Tribolium castaneum: one gene and its partners. The protein of the gene in region 3 purifies or fractionates together with the protein of the main gene of each other region. This does not show direct contact. Links are inferred from orthologs where the notes say so. Each region holds a gene or a part of one and is shown on either strand. Other genes may lie near its edges.

Region 1 (6,234 bases), on a different chromosome or scaffold from region 3:
ACTGACTTCGATGTACATTCAGCAGCGCTGGACCAAGTACCAAAAGCTCATCCGTGCTATTTTAATTTTGGTGCCTCTGTTCGGGATCCCTTACACGATTTCGTTCGTGTTATCGTTCTATGCGCTGGAGGACCAGACGTTTGAAATAATGTGGTTATTTTTTGACCAGACTTTTACAGCGTTTCAAGGACTTTTTGCCAGTTTGGTTTATTGCCTCTTGAACAGCGAGGTTCAGATGGAGATAATGCGAAAATATAACTCTTTCAAGGACCGCAATCGGGAGTTTAAGAGGCGAAGTCGCACGATCTCGCACACGCAACAGATTCCGCTGACTGAAGAGTTGCAAGAAATGCCGCACAACGCGGGGATTAAAGATCAGCTGTGCATTAACAAAACAAGTGATTATTTTTAAGTTTATTTATTGTAGCTTTAGTTCCACACACAATAAACTTAAGTAATTTATTTTCCTCTGAACTATTACATAATCACAGGACATTATAAATATAATATAGAAAAATCGCTGATGCAAATCATGCAATGACATAATACTAGTACGGGCGAATTTGGTCTGGGAAACTGAAGAGCTGCCGGTGAAATGGTACAAATTACCAAAAAATAGTTCCATGTTTTTTATTTTCTGTAATAAATAATCCTCAAATATACAAACGGCTTAATACCTTTCCCTTAAGCCCTCCGTTTGATTATTTACAAATACAGTAAAATGAACCGCTGTCAAATACTTTATTCGAAAACGTAACAACTACAATTATACTATTCTTTCAAAAAGAACAAATTTCCTAAGGAAAAATGGAACGAATAATGTACAGCAAAAAAACAAACAATCGTAAATAAATACAACTGCAGGATTGCATGATGAAAACAGTGCTGGTGCAAGTTATACAAAAATTACTATCACTCCTTACGAACTTTTCGTTTCCTCGCGCCGTCACCTGCACCTTTGGATGACTGTTCCTGCGAGAACATGATAAACCCAATTTTAATTTTAACGACTGAATCTCACCTCTGTTTTTTCCTCTGATTCCTCTTCTTCGTCGGAATCAGGCCCTGAATTCTTTTCTCTATCGTCGTCTTCTGCATTTTCAGCTTCTACTTCATCTTCTTCTTCTTCTTTACCTTCTTCTTCTACAACATCTTCAGTCGTTTCGTCAGTCTTTTTATGTTGCGCTGCTTGTCGAAGCTCCTCTTTCTCCTGTCATTGTCACTTATTAACACCGCAAAATTTAATGCAATAGCCAAAATACCTGAATTTGACTAGCAGAGGATCCAGGCTTGCAGCAAAGGTATAATACAAAAACAACAGGGATGCCTAGTACGATAATGTATACTCCCCAAAGCCAAGGGTAATCATTGGTCAAGGTAGCTAATTTTTGAATTACGCTTTCCTATGTCAAAACAAAGAAAACTATAACTAGCAGTACGAAAATACCTCTTGAATGCAGAAGTAGAGGTACCATATGTAACAACAAACCGGTATGGCGCAATAAACGAAATATAAGAACCACGGTACAGGTTTATAGTTTAACTTTTTCATAAGACGACCCCACAGTGTCCTCTTATTTAGTAAAAAATCACAAATATAATAAAATTCATTTAAATTAAACAGATACTAACCGAATCCTTGGCGATCTTTTGCTTCTTTTTTTCAAAAGTGGCGTCTGCCCAATGGTTCGCAACGGTAATATCGTCGGTAATAATAATATTGTCGAAGAAAATGTCCTTTGACATTGACCATAACTCAAATCCAACAGCGGTCTGAAAAAAGTTATTTGTCCAAAGATAAATTAATCTTGAATGAATTGCAAAAATACAATTCTTTATTTAGGTTTACAAAACATTTTTATCACAATACGAACGCAAATTCGCCAAAATAAGCATAAAAACGATTGGGTGTGGCTAAGTATATATTACTTCCTTAGTTAGCATATCTCACATAGCAACTAAATCCTTTTGTAGTGACACAAACAATTCTTTTTTGCAACATGTTTTGTTGAAGGCAACAATGCAATAATCAAATACGCAGTTTCGGTAAAAATATGGAAATTAAACAACTACAATTCTGCCAAAAACCAAAGATAATAAAAAAAAATCGCAAAAATAAATGTGTCAATTTCAAGTTGGCTCAATTTTATCAAGAGGCAATTCTTTTACCATTTTCTCACTGTCCTAGGCACTCTAAAAAAATTGCTAACAAAATTAGAAGCTCAGAATTTGTTATTTTTGTACAAAGCATATCGAAATATACTTTTCACAAATTCTGGAAACTGGAGAGGAAACTAGAGCTGACAGCCAAATTTTGACTGCAGATTTGTAAACTATGTTCTAATAGTGTACAAAATCAACTGATAAATTTGAACAAGAAGAAAAAATAATGTAAACATATCGGCACCAATAATTACAGTTACATAAACAAGATAATTTTTTAACCATTTACTTACAACAGTCTGCATTTTAAAGGGATGCTTATCTTCGAAGAACTCGGGATTGGGGATCCTCCTGGGCCTCCACTTCCCCTTATAATTAGGATTATCGATAAGCGGCGCCCTCCACTTCCCCTTATAATCGGGATTATTGATAAGTGGGGGCTCCCAAGGCCCACACCCGACAGCATCCTTACAAGCGGGATTATCAATAAGCGGTGGTTCCCACTCCCCGTCCATTTCCGAATCCCAATCTTCTGGTTTCTTTGCATCAGGATCGAAAACATGCGACGGTTCATTATCCAGCCAACCTTCCGGTTTCACCGCTGATTCATCAACAATCTGAGCCGGCGCATCCTCATCCCAATCGTCAGGTTTCACGGCATCTGGGTCAGGGATTTTCTCCCTTTCATCCCAATCCTCAGGTTTCTTGTCATTAGGATCGTCAATTTCTTTCGGAGGATTCACTGCCGGGGTGAAATCCTCAAGCAAACTTCCCGAATTGACCACTTTGTTGTCGATTAGGATCTCGAAGGTGTTGTCAGGGTGCAGGACAAGGGTGAACAAGTGGGGGAGTTTGTCGGAGAAGACTTCCTCAATGCGGTCTTTGGGTTTTTTGCAATGCTTTTCCTCGACGCTCCCGTTGAGAGGGTTGCGGTGCTTGAAGATAAAGTGGAGCTTGTGGTCGTTACCGCACTTGTCGGGGCCGAACATGATCGAGTAGGGGGTTTTATCGTGGAAGTTGTTCAAGTTTTTACTGGCGGAGTCCTGGGTGAGCAGCTTCAAGTAGGCTCCGCCACATTCTTGGCCGTCTTGGAATATTACTTCATATTGCACGATTAATGGTTTAGTATCAAAAATAAACGGTTTTAGGAGAGAGGAGGCAATAGCAGCGTGTTTAGCCTTTGATTTAAGCACTAAACCTTTGTCGCCCACTAGACTGTCTTTTTGGGTTGGTTCAAGTTGCCATTCACCGTCGTATTTTGCGATGTCTTCGGAAATCCCTTCTTTCTTCGCTTGGGATTTTATCCAACGTTTCGCAAACTGGTCTGGATCGTCGAAATGCTCGGCGAAATAGACCTTTTTCGGGTCAAGGGGGCTCGGACTTTCGTAGGGGATATCAATGTGTGATTCTTCCGGTTCTACTTCCACAGTAGCCTCGTCAGAATCGTCCACTTCGTCACATTTTACCGCCGAAAATATCAACAATAACGTGATTACTGCCGGAACGAGACTTCTAAGCATTTTGTGATCATATATTGTCCTGCAAACCAAACCGGGCACTAATTATGTGTCGTGATTACAGGATGACGAAACGGAAGCAGTATTTACTAATATAAGTCAGGGACTAATCCAATTTAAAAAATTAACCTGAAAGGTTAGTGAACGCACTTCCCAATCGATTAGTTACGAAATTACGCCAAATATCGACAAAAACGCACTCTCTTACCCAACTATCGACACGCTATTACTACAAAATGCACAAAAAAGCCGACTTCACGATGAAATAATTAAAATTCTAGAGACCGACAAAATAAAATGACATACCTAACCTCAAAATCCGGAAGTAGTTTTACACAGCACTCTTACAACACTAGCTTCAGCACCACAGTCTTAACTCAAATTGGTGTTTACTTAGGCTGTATTTCATTTATTATCAGATTATTTTTATTGTAGTTCTTGAACACCACGTAATACACCGCATTTATGAAGAGAATAAACACAAATTCGCCGACCAATCAGCGTCAAACAGATGGCAAAGTTGCGCTCAGTTCAAAAATAGGCGGGGAAAAAAAGTACAAACAGTTAAAAAATGAAAACTTTATTCACCAGTGGTACAGAAACGATCACAGTCGTACAAACCAAATAAAAAATGAGCAACAGGTGTTGGTCTTTGATTTAAAATACTGAGCTTGTTTTGGCCCTGATATAATTACAAATCTTTGGCTTTTAATTTCCTCAAAGCTGTCTCCATTCCCAACTTGCCCGCAATCACAGCATGACGTTCGATTTTATTCCAGATAGTTGCCATCATCAAAGTGTAAAACATAAAAAGGGTGATTAAAATTTTCAAAATGTGGTAAATAAAATTCAGATTGTAGCCGAAAGGTAGGTCAGTTGCAAGTGTCGTAACCAGCAACACGATTAAAACGAACGTAAAAAACCAGTACAAATATTTATGGTTATTCAAGCCCCTGAGTGCGTCATCACAGATTTCTATGCTCTCTTCAAGGACAGTTTTCTTCATGTGTTGGTCGCTTTTCAGCGACCTTATCTCGCTCTTTGTGACGATTAAAGTCGCAGCGATTGCTTCATGGTCCGAGTAACTGTACGCACATCCGGGGATTTTGTGTGGTAACGGCAATGTGTAGCTTTTTAAATCGATTTGTAAACTTGAGCCTGGATGATACATGATATAGTCGATTCTTTTGCCAGGAATGTTTTTCTTGAGTAAGGCCACGGGTGTGTAACTATTAGTGAGGCTTTCATTTGTCGCCACACAATTCTGCACCGTTTCTCCAGCTTCACCAAACGCATCTACAAGTCCCGGAACACTCAACATTATCCTGTAGGCTAAATCTCCAGGTTCGGTATTTAAGTCCCCGGCCAGGACTACTAGGTCGGCGTCTCCAGACGTCATTTGGATAAATTGAGCGGTATCGAAAGATTGGAGCACTCTGTGAGCTTGGTATTCATCACAATTTCGGTCGTATTCTGCGTGCAACTAAAATTATTACTCTTTGTGTTGTTCATCAAGCAAAATAAATCTTACATGTGCAGAGTAGACGTTGACGGTGTAATTGTTCACCTTTAATTTACATAAACCCACGCCCTTTCCACCAAACCAGTCACCATGGTGGATTTTATGAATGTAACCATTTACTGGCCATTGGTGGAAAAAAACGTCCTCCATCGGGTGTCGCGATAAAATACAAACGCCAGAGCCCGTGACTCCGCTACAACTCACCTTTACGCTTGTTTCAACTGAATTTTTGAATTTACCTGTAAAAATAGTGAGAGTATGGTAACACCCCTGAGACTTTGTTTCTGATTAACTGGTAGTCAGAGTCAAGCCATATCTCTTGGAGGCAAACTACATCGTACTGGCTAGTCGCCAACTTCTCAGCTATTGCCTGCATTCGGTGTCTTCGGTTCTTGGAGACCACCGCAAGGCCCCTAAGAATTTTGTGCAATTTTGTAACATAAATCACATGACAGCTTACCAGCAATTCAAAGTAAACACTTTAAACTCCATTATTACAGAAAATGATAGATTTATAGAAGTATTTTTGCGAAATAGATCTAACTTTGTGTTAAAAGAACAGTGACGTGTGACATTACTGTTGACATTTTTCCTGCATGGCCACGTGACAGTTGTCAAACGTCCAACAGCGTAAGTTAAAAGGGTGGCGAAACATTAAATAAATTAAATCGACTCGCAAAAATTACCAGAATGTAACAAATAATCAGGTAACGACCAATAACTTTTTTCGGTAATTTTTGGATGAGTTAAGCTTTAATTTGTAACAGAACTTGGCTGTAGAAAACGAGAATGGTGGGAAATGGTGGAAATGCGTGCAGGGATTGTCTGGTCGACTGTAATGTTTATGGTGCTAACTTCAATTAATTTCGGACGGGTGAACATTCTCCGGTTCAGACGTCTTGTTCAGTGCACAAACTCGCCCAACCACATGTGAAAATAACGTGTAAATGCGTTTTAAAAGTTACTTGTTCAGTTGTTGAATAATTTGGTGAGATGAACGAGTTAGCTGTTCCTCCTGCGCCCCTTTGGTAC
Region 2 (5,090 bases), on a different chromosome or scaffold from region 3:
TACCAGATATCGATAAGGAGGAGGAACCGCGAAATAAATCGTTTGAGATGATCGTCTTGCGTGTTCGAATCAGAGTTTGGCTCCACCGGGAGTTGCTCTAAATATTTCGAGTTTTTATCGAAAAGACTGTGCAAATTATTCGTTGTCCCGTCGAAAGAAACAGGACACGCCAGGCAACGCATGTAGTGGTAAACCGCGTCTAGAAATTTGTTCTGGTTCATTGCTAAAGTCCCCATTTGATTGTGGGGCATGCCGTGGTCGGGTTTGAACGAAATGGCTTGTAGGTAATAGCGGAAAGCTAGAGTCGCCCCAATTTTGGGGTCAATCTCGAGTTTGTATCGACTCAAATCGCCTAAATAAATCAAACATTGGTGTACTGAAAGGTTCGCCCACTCGAGACACTCCGTTCTGGCGTCGCCCTTGCCGAAGGCGCCCCCCATTGAAAAATCGATGACATGAGTCAGATTTAAATTAAATTCGCACTGCAGTTTGGATATCATGTGGTGGTAGAAGCCAATGCCGGAATTAACATGTGCCAGTAAATTGCAAATTTCGTTCTGGGTGTATTCCTTCTTTTTGAGTTTTTTCGCGGTGGAAACGACGTCATAATAGCCTTTGCGCCACAGTAACTCCTCTCCTTTTTTTCCATACAGGACGGGGTCGGAAAAAATCAACCGTTCGCAGAACTCGCAGAATTTCCGCCGTTGGATTTGCAAGTTGGGGGTGAATAGGTCGCTGATGGTCCGGGCGCAGCTGCGAGCGTCATCTAAACGTTTTGCCTGCTCGGTTGTAGATCTACAAAAGGGGGCTAGACATGTGCAGGGCCACGGGCTGTACCCACCTGTACAACTTTTTAGACTGCTCAAGGCCCTGCTTTTGGTGGATATCGGTAGAATTTTTAACCTTCTTCATTTCAACTCATGTTGCTACCCCGGTCAAGAATTGAACAAACTTCCTTTGAACTCGATTAGTGATTCCAAATACCGAACGGCCACACAACTCATTTTTCTATCATGGTTAATTTCACAAATATGTTTTGACACCATCACAATTTCTTATCAAATCGTCAAATATGTCCATTGCCACATGATTTTGAGAAATTTTACGCCGCCATCTAGCGGCACGGAAAATTTGGTCGCGTAAAACAGCCAAACCATCGACTCAATTTAACCAAAATTCGCCCCCAAACTATATTTTAATGCGGGCGTTTCGTCACAGTTAAAATTTTTAGCAAAAATAATGAAACACTGCGCAATTAGCTAAGTCGAAGTACAGGAAACTGTACCCAAATCAATAGATGTCGCCCTGCCAAACAGCTGTTTGTTGTCAATAAAAATGGCCACGGCTGCGGCAAAAAAGCAGGATATGCCCCCGTCTGGGGGCTACAGGCCCATAAACTTCAAGAGAGTCCCCGCAAGATCGTACTTCAGCGGTAGGTCATTGCTCTTTTAGTGCCACTTCCACTAAACGTGCTTTACTGTTATGTAATAATTTAACCCCACTTTAGGTTGGGCCCTTTTCGGGGGCTATCTCGGAATGACCGCAGCCGCAAGCTACCTCTACTACTTGAACTGTAAACAAGTGCAAGCTAACGAAATTGAGATGAGGTCCGGTCGTTTCGCTATTTTCCCCTTGTTGCTTGCGGAGCGAGACCGCGAATACTTGAAACAGTTGAGGCGAAATCGGGACGAGGAAGCCAAGTTGATGGCGAATGTTGAGGGATGGGAAGTCGGGACGTATTACGGAGAGCCCTTGTTTAAATCGTTTGATAAGGACAAGTTGATTGAACCCATGATGCAAGGGTATTACGTGCATGCCCCCATGAAGGACTTCAGAGATAGGGCTTATATCAGACAGTGGTCGTAAGGCATTGTTGGTTGTAGTAAATTCATTTTTTGTTAATATATTTGGGAAAACGTGCTGTATTTTTAATACCCTTACAAGTGTTATTCCTAATTAATTTGCAATGCCCCAAGCCTATCCTCAATATCGTCAATGTTGGAGTGTTTGTACTGGTTTTGAATCTCGTTCAGTGCCCACTCTGACAGCTTCTGCGCCTCTTTCTTCTTCTGTGATGAACATTTTGCTGAAGTGGCAATAGCAGTAGTCGCAATGTAAAGGCCGTAAAGGGCTCTCACGTTTTTCGGATTCAGTTTAATCGCTTGGCAGTAGTAAGAGCGCGCTAATTCAATGTTTTCCAAACCACCTTGCGTGTACTTTATATCGGCGTAACGCTGATGCAATAAGTGATTGTGGGGGTTGTGTAAAATCAATTCTTCCACGCAAAAAGCGGCCTTTTGGAAATCCTGCTCAGTTATGTAAAGTTCACTGAGCTCCTGCCAGGCCTCACCGTCGGCCATAAAACTACAAAAAATGTTAATCACAGTGTTTTTCGCCATGAAATAATTACATTTTCAAATAGTCTGCCAGTTCTTTGATCGCCTCAACGGTCTTGCCCTGGGCTTTCAGAATTGCAATTTTGCGTTTTTTGGCACCACTGTTGGTCTCATCGACTTTGATTATGTCGTCCAAGATTTTAATAGCGTCTTCGTACTTTTCCTGGGCTTCAAAAAGCATGGCCTCGTATTTTCTCACCCTTAGACTATTGGGGAAATCTTTATGCAACTCCTTGAGGCATTTTTTAGCGATAGTGAACTCGTTGCAGTCGAGAGCAGCTATGCAAACTTGCTCTAAAATTAGGGCTTCTGAAATGTGCAATGTTTAATGTTTGGTAGAGATTAAAAATGTCGTACTTTCTCTCCCCAACTTTTGAATATTTGATTCGAGTTCGGTGATCCAATATTCGACGATTTTGCGACTTTTACGGTCGTTGTTCTCTCGCCAAAGTCGTAATCTTTCAAGAATACCTACAATTTGCAATATTGCTGATTTATTGATTTTTAAATCAGGTAATACGAACTGTTTAAGTTTGCCATGATGCTTAATCGCTGGAAGTTCTTCAATTACGATAAAATCGTTACTCTAACATTTCTAAATGATCAATTATATCTTAATTATTCGAGTTGTTTTAATGAACACACGTCACTTTTTGATTTATTCGACAGTCAGTGTCGGCAACCGCTCGGCACTTCTGTGAAAACCCTAGTTCTTTGTCAATCATGATGGCTGACTGAAATTTCTTGGTTTACTGATTAAAATCTCAAAAAACTTTAATTTTTCGGAAAATTGGTGTATCTGCCGCCTCCTCAAAATGCCGTTTTAACCCGGAAAAGGTGAGTCTTTTGAAAAATCAATCCCCCGTCTCGCAATACCAAGAAACTGGTTCTTATGTTTTGTGATATTTTTTGTTTATTCGCTCGAAAATATCAGTAATTCGCTTATCGCTCCAAAAGCCAGCAAGGCCCCACGTTCGAAAAAGGCTTAAACCGCGTTATCTCCTCTGATTTAGCCGTTGTTGAGTTCTCATCATTGATTTTGTTATAACAGATCAATAACCTAGTCAGAGGAGTGTACAGCTGAGCAACTTGTGTGAATTCCAATCAGTTGCAATAAAAATGGACACGAGCAACATATCCTGTCCTGTCTGTACATTGTATCTCAGACCGGGCATAACCCTAAAGACCCACTTGAGCAGCCATCCCAAGCAGAAGGTGATCGAGGCTCTGGTCCGGCTGTCGGAGACCGGAGATGTGGAAAAAATCGGCAACCCCTCCTCCCAGCCCGACCCTGGCGCCTCCACCACCCACACCGCCGTGGTGAACCAGAGCTGGAACCAGGGCGGCTTGGTCAACATGCCCCCCCTGCAGGGCAACCACGTCTTCATCTACCAGCAGAGCATGAGCAGCACGACCGCCTCGCCCCAAAACGTGCCATCGCAATACGTCATTCCCACGATTTTGAACCCGCAAATGATGCCCTACATCTACCAGCAACAGCTGATCATGTCAAGCGGCTCCTGTGTTTCCCCCATGCGGACGCTGCCGTTTGAGTTGCCGTCGACGTCGTCACAGGACTGCAGCATCACGGAGGAGCCCGAGAACGAACGCGACTCGCCGAAGAAAATCGAGGAGATTGACGAAGATGCGAGCGAGACGCTGAGTGATTCGATTAAAATCGACTGCGATATGCAGGAGCAGATCAATAATAGTTTGGATTTGAATGTGTATGAAATTGAGGAGGGTTTTAACGCACAGGAAGGGCCCCCGAGTCCGGACTCCGAGAGCGGCGAGTTGAATAAAGCCTGTCAGACGCAGAACAACAACTTGACCTCGGAAGAGGACGTTTCGGATGAGACTGAGCCGAAACAGGCCGATTCCGAGTTTTATTTTGTGAACGAGAACGAGAATCCGAATTACACTTCGGTGGAATTGGGCCAGAACCCGATTTACACGGCTTCGAATATTTTGCAGTCTGACCAGCTAGACTTCGTTGATATGAACGGAGTCCAGATGGTAATTAATGATATAAATGAGTTTGCGGGCAATCAGATTATATCTCAGGTTGAAAATTTTGAAGGTATCGCTCCTGACCGGTCGGGAGTTTTAATGACGATCGGCGGGATGGTTGATAGTGCTAAAGATGATTTTCTGGATCAGAGAGATGCGGAAGAGAGCATGTCTCGGGAGAGCTCGAATGTTAACATCCGAGCCGACGAGCGTATGCCCCCGAGGGGCGAGCTCTCCGGTCAGGAGAGTCTAGGGGGCTCCAGTGATATCACCTGGAACCGGGTGCAATATAACGAAGGCAGCTCAGGGATGTCCACCTCGTACGACCTCCTAACGCGCGAAAACTGGGAGGCTTCCGACAGTTCCGACGTCGAAGTGCCCCCCCTTCAAAGTCGCATCCCCTCACACGTGACCTATCCCGAGGAGGACGACGACAGCCCCACTATAGTCAGCTTCACCGGACCTCCTCTCAACTTCAAATGTTCGAAATGTGACGAAGCGTTCAGCTGTCTCAGAGAGAGGAAAGAACACGAGGCGGAAAAACATCCCGAAAAACGCAAACTTAATCGAATCGGCAGCGAACTTGACAAGAAAAAAGTCAAAAAACTCGTCGTTAAACTCAAAACTGAAAAGCCCGAAAGCGAGAACAACTTCGTTTTTACGAACAAACTCAAAATGGAAACT
Region 3 (5,484 bases):
CAAAACTATTTTTTTTAAATGAACAGTGTCAAATAATTTTAAAGTTGTCACCACTAGCATTCACTCGTACTAGTTTTAATAAAAGAAGAAAGCAGTCTCTGTTTTTTATTTATTTGAAAAAAATGTCATTAAACATTACAGCAAAAGAAATTTTCTATAGATGAAACCACAGATACAGGGATAAAAACCTACCGATAACAGTTTTGTAAATTTGAAAATAGTAGTCAAAGTAGAGATCATTAAAACACCACCGTTGAAATTTAGACGCAAAATGTACGAGTAGGTAACATCTACAGGATTGTTTAACATAGTCGCAATTTTTAGCAAGAAAGGGACGAAAATGCAAAATATTCCTGAATGTGGCAGAAGACAGAAATCAATCACATAAAGGGTAGGTCTGGTAGTTGCAATATGCTTTTAACAAAGAAAAGAAAAGAATGTAGAAGTAGGTTTAACTTTATAAATTACAATACAATAAATTACAGGAACAGTATGCTTTATTTTTTCCATATAATCTCCTCCTTTCATTATTTTTTTGCGTGAAGCTAATTTTTTGTGTACTTATTACACCACTGTTCTTATACGTGCAGTCATTTCTCTTTTAGAAAGGATTTAATTCTGTATTTAGACACAATTAAGGCAGTGATATACCTACGTATGTGCTGAGGAACCTGAGGTTCCTAATAAGGCGTTTAAAGAAGAAATGTGGATAACACTAGTGGATTCAAAATCCATAAAGTCTTTTAGGAAACCTTCAACATACACGTAAATTTTTTACCGAAATGTTTAGGTACAAAACAATAAATAAACAAAATCTGTGGATATTCAGATGAGCTACTGCCAGTTTTTTTCAATAAAATTTTTACTAGGGCACCAAGTAAGGTCGTTTAAAAAACAAGGTTTATTTATTGCCTGATTTTAATGTTTACAATAGCCATTCAATAAAATTATTGAATGAGTCCAAAAATTCAAAGTGATTGGTTGCTAACGTTATTATAATGGCCGACCATAAATGTACCAATCATATCCGAAAATATAATTTTTCAATGAATCCAAAAATCTAAAGTGATTGGTTTTCTCCGTAATTTTAATGGCCGACCCCAAACCGTCCAATCAAAATGCTTACAAATTTTACAACAATCTTTACGTGGCTTACGTTAATTCATAAAACATGAGTCTGTCTTTGTTGCCTGTCACATCTTCAGTCTTTCATGAATTCACCCTCAGAGGTAATCTTGGACGATCTACTAGATGAAAATGCAAAAATTGGGATAATGGGAGGAAATAAATAAGGAATATTATATTGAAGCTCTTTTATATTTGCTATGAGTTGTAATATCAGTTAAAAAGTTTCAATTGACGAATTCTCGAAATGATCCATGTTGCGCATGCGCGCGCTCTTCAGTTTTCCAAATGACATTTCTGGAAAATCTAACAAGAAAGACGAAAAGTTGGTGGAAACTGCCCCAGAATATTCAAAAGTGATGCGAAAGGGGGTCATGGCTTAGGTAAATGGTGTTGTTTCAAAAACGGTGCTTGTGTTTTTTCCAATAATAGTGTCCACATTGTCGGCGTGCGACAAGTCGGAATTTTTTTTTATTATTATATTAAAGCTGATCGAAAATTTGTAAGTAAAAATTGGTATCATGTAAAAAAGAACTTTTTTTCGGCATTTTGATCGTTTTAGAATTGTGATTGGTTACCTACAATCTGTAATGAAAGTAGAGAAAGTTTGACTCAAAGTGAGAATTTCTAGAAAACACAATTTAAGAGGATTTTTCAAATTTTAAAACAACCAACAAGTAGATTGTTGTTTTTTAAGCCGATAAGAAAATCTTTAAAATTACACCTCCACAGAGGTAGACCTAATTGCGATCGAAAAATTGAGTGAACGAGAGACCCCCACATAAAAAATAATCGCCAATTATTTTTTATTAGCCATAAATACTGATAGTTTTCGACAAAGAGGCCCAAAGTATATCCAGATTCGGGGCGGATACTTAATCCGCCTCTGAGAAAACAGGTAAAAAAAACACGAAAATATTTTATAAAATTTATTAACAGTAACAGTATGGCCTTAAATAAGTAAAATAAAATTGGTACATATCCTAGTTCACTCCTAGTCCCGAGTCAAACAAAACACCCGACTCTCTCCCCCTTTAAGCCCTTAATTCGAGGGCGTAGGCACATTGAGCAACAGATTTTGCCCCCCTGGCAAATACGACACTTGCCTCGACCTCGACAATTGATACGCGATATCCTCCGCAGCCTCAATCCTCCTCAACTCCACCAACCCCTCTCCGGCATCCCCAAACGCCTTCGCCAGCAACGTAGCCGCCTGAGCATCCCCTTCTGCCGAAATCACCGCCGCCTTCTTATTCTGCTCCGCCTTCTCCACCAAAAACCTGGCCTTCTCCGCCTCCTGCTGCGCCACCTGCTTCAGCTCCACCGCAAGAGTAAACTCCCGTCCAAACGTCAAATGCGTGATGGAAATATCGTCCAGGATGACCCCAAACTGCGACGCCCTCTCCGTGAGGTCCTCGCTGACCTTCTGCGAGACGAGGTCACGCTGTGTGATGAGCTCCCCGGCGTCGAACTGCGCCACCACGGCCTTGAGCACCTCGGTGGTGATGGAAGGGAGGACGCGCTCTTCGTAGTCCTGCCCCAGGACGGTGTAAATGCGCGGGAGTTGGTCGGGGACGGGGCGGAACAGGATACGGAGGGTGATGTTGACGTTCTGCAAGTCCTTGCTGCCGGTGATGACCGGGACGTTGCGGGGGCGCGACCGCACGTCGAAGATGATGGGGCGTTGCACCCAGGGGATGAAGAAGTGGGTGCCTTCGCCAATCACTTGCTTCTTGATGCCGGAGAAACGGTCGAAGATCACGGCACGGTGACCACCATCGACTATCAATTAATTAATTGAGCACCAACACAAACACAATTTTTTGCTAATTTTTACCATTGTATAACGCCGAATTGACCACGCCGCCTACCAGAGCTACTCCAAGGCCAAACTGTCCAATCCTGTTGAATAATTGCGCCGCAGACATTGTTTACTTGAAAAAAAGGACTGAATGTAATGTGTGCAGGATGTAAGGTTATGTCGGATCAGTTTGGCTCATTACGCATAAAAAGCCACGTTTGGTATAAAAAACGTAATCAATATGAAAACACAACGTTGGCTAATACATTAAATATGATAAATTACCTGTAATTAACTGCAAAATGTAATAAATCAGCCGGCAAACTCACGAGTTGCTCTTTGAACAAAATGGAAGAATTGGATTTGACATTTGACAGCGTAATTGGTGACTTTACACCAACTTTGTGGAAGAAAATAACTACATTTTGAATTTTTTTATTCGTAAACTTTGAATTACATTACTAAAACCACGTAAATATCGATTCTTAACATTAATAAAGATTGAAAAAAGCATCAGAAACTTCAAATATTTAATCTTTTGCCGTCATTGTAAGAAAACAATGGTTTCTTCAGATGCCCTCTGATACCAACATTGCTAATGAAAATAACCACATTTTGAAATGTTTATTCCATTTTTTAAAAATAATATCAAAAATAGTTTTTATAATTAATTAAATTGTAGCAAATCATAAGTACAACACCACATATTTATGTTTCTTTAATTGCTATAAGAATTGATTTATTGTTTGAAAAAGTTAGTTGAATTTTTAAAACGTAATAAAAACTGTATTTTATTTTTTTTTAAACTCTCGACTCTGTAACATGTGAAGAACGACATTATTTAATCCACTAGGGTGGTATTTTTTTCAATAAAGTAATTAATTTTCATAAAAAACGTAATTTTTTTTTAATCTCTATAACACTTTTTCTCAAAAAAGTTGGCATTATTTCATCAAGATTTAACTCATTATTTGGCCCGTGTAAAAATTCACTCCGCCACGCAACCACTTTATTTTTAAATTGAGTATTTTTTGCAAATTAAAAAAAATGTAGTTATGCAACCAATATTGCAAGCCAATATTGCTAGCCCAAGCTCTAGAGGATTATTTAATTCAACAAATAACCACTTATTTTCACACTGAAATGGAAACTCGACTTGATATCTAAATTTTTACGTCAGAATCAACAGTTTAAATTTCCAACCACAAACAAAAAATTAAATTTTGTAAACAAATTACGATAAAAAGTCTATTTTACCTTTTTATCTGTTTTATAAGTTTATCTGAATGACGCTTAGTAAAGAATAAAGAGAATTACAGTTGAGAATTCTGAGAGCTACGGGTTCTGCTAAATAAAACTACCCACTTCTGTTTAATTACCATTTTTATTTTTCCCAAACAGTCGTTTAATAATCAAAGACTTACACGTTAACAGGGAATGATAAACTGCAACATTTGTACACGAATTTAACAGTCTCATCAACTGGTGATATTTTACACTAAAAATTGAAACTTATGCACATTTTTTTAATCCCTAAATCCCTAGTGAGCCTTTTCTTTTTGTGGTGTTACGTTCCAGTAATAGAGCAACTGCGCTACCAGCACCCCATTGGCAAGAGTGCTAGCAATATAGGTCAGAATGACCATCTTGTCCCCCGTCTCCTGAATCGAGGTGAAAATCCTGGCTAGAGACCCCATAAATAACATAATCAAAGTAGCCGCTGACAATTGACCTGTAGTTCCATTTTTGTAATTACTATAAGCTTGTGTCAACTTCCCGCTAACAACAATGAAAATGTTAAAACCTTGCAATGTCCATAAGACACTGATAGGGGTCAAGCCACTCATTAGAATGAAATTGACTAACAAATAAGCAACTAAATATAGAAGTGCTTTTGAGCTAGAACCCCCATAATGGAGCACCAAAACCCCAACAAGGACTGTCTGTATCGCAAGAAAGGCGGCATCGCCCCACGCACTGAACGGGAACTGTTTGAGGAAACTATAAGATGCGTAAATCGTTATTGCAGTCAAGTCCAAAGTAACACTGAGCAAACTGATGCCCTCCCCGCTTTTATTCTTGTAAATTTTGATGATTTGGGGCAGTTTTACCAAAAGTGAGCCCATAATTATGCCTAGACCTAGGCATTTGCTCAAAGTTGAAGAAAAACACGGCCCTGAAAGCACAAGTCAAGTGCATTATAACCTCACTTTTTGTACTCACCATCGAAAAAATTCAAATGAATGAAATAATTATCGTAACAGTGGGGCGTAAAAACCAATAAAAGGACTTGTCGAATGAATTCGAGCGGTTGTGAGCCCATTTTTTGTGTCTTCTTTAAAATGATGACACGTCAAGGACCGTGGTGAGGTTATGTCACGCCACTAGTGTTATTATCTGTGATTTGAGGCGATAAGAACTGAGATATTTAAATTAAATAAACGTCGTTCTCATCGTTTGCTACTGTGTTTGATAAAAAGCCACTTAATTTATGACTTTGACTTAATTTCAAATTAATGACAAATCCATAACGCACAAAATTCATAACGTAGGAATTG

The links.
Region 1: the proteins of Phb1 (region 3) and calnexin purify together in Homo sapiens (affinity purification with mass spectrometry; 3 studies listed by BioGRID and IntAct, with this or other methods). This does not show direct contact. The link is inferred for Tribolium castaneum from reciprocal best matches to the Homo sapiens genes PHB1 and CANX.
Region 2: the proteins of Phb1 (region 3) and ER membrane protein complex subunit 2 purify together in Homo sapiens (affinity purification with mass spectrometry; 3 studies listed by BioGRID and IntAct, with this or other methods). This does not show direct contact. The link is inferred for Tribolium castaneum from reciprocal best matches to the Homo sapiens genes PHB1 and EMC2.

The regions. Positions count from the first base shown.
Region 1 is NC_087402.1:5,188,695-5,194,928, forward strand, and holds calnexin, read right to left. Parts: upstream 4,188-6,234; 5' UTR 3,992-4,187; exon of another isoform or gene 3,987-3,991; intron 3,984-3,986; exon of another isoform or gene 3,889-3,983; intron 3,703-3,888; 5' UTR 3,684-3,702; coding exon 2,457-3,683; intron 1,774-2,456; coding exon 1,633-1,773; intron 1,404-1,632; coding exon 1,263-1,403; intron 1,211-1,262; coding exon 1,022-1,210; intron 973-1,021; coding exon 913-972; 3' UTR 413-912; downstream 1-412. Other genes in the region: parathyroid hormone/parathyroid hormone-related peptide receptor, read left to right, coding at 1-412; nSMase (putative neutral sphingomyelinase), read right to left, coding at 4,372-5,163, 5,212-5,395, 5,442-5,615, 5,663-5,694; gem-associated protein 5, read left to right, coding at 6,196-6,234. UniProt on the Homo sapiens protein: Calcium-binding protein that interacts with newly synthesized monoglucosylated glycoproteins in the endoplasmic reticulum. It may act in assisting protein assembly and/or in the retention within the ER of unassembled protein subunits.
Region 2 is NC_087397.1:2,508,693-2,513,782, forward strand, and holds ER membrane protein complex subunit 2, read right to left. Parts: upstream 3,060-5,090; 5' UTR 2,937-3,059; coding exon 2,921-2,936; intron 2,868-2,920; coding exon 2,754-2,867; intron 2,706-2,753; coding exon 2,411-2,705; intron 2,365-2,410; coding exon 1,953-2,364; 3' UTR 1,888-1,952; downstream 1-1,887. Other genes in the region: nonsense-mediated mRNA decay factor SMG5, read right to left, coding at 1-795, 842-912; ND-B16.6 (NADH dehydrogenase [ubiquinone] 1 alpha subcomplex subunit 13), read left to right, coding at 1,336-1,432, 1,508-1,866; zinc finger protein 571, read left to right, coding at 3,516-5,090. UniProt on the Homo sapiens protein: Part of the endoplasmic reticulum membrane protein complex (EMC) that enables the energy-independent insertion into endoplasmic reticulum membranes of newly synthesized membrane proteins.
Region 3 is NC_087398.1:10,074,225-10,079,708, reverse strand, and holds Phb1 (prohibitin 1), read right to left. Parts: upstream 3,346-5,484; 5' UTR 3,212-3,345; intron 3,060-3,211; 5' UTR 3,054-3,059; coding exon 2,963-3,053; intron 2,908-2,962; coding exon 2,168-2,907; 3' UTR 2,042-2,167; downstream 1-2,041. Other genes in the region: mannose-P-dolichol utilization defect 1 protein homolog, read right to left, coding at 4,468-5,102, 5,150-5,249; slv (sugar transporter SWEET1), read right to left, coding at 5,355-5,484.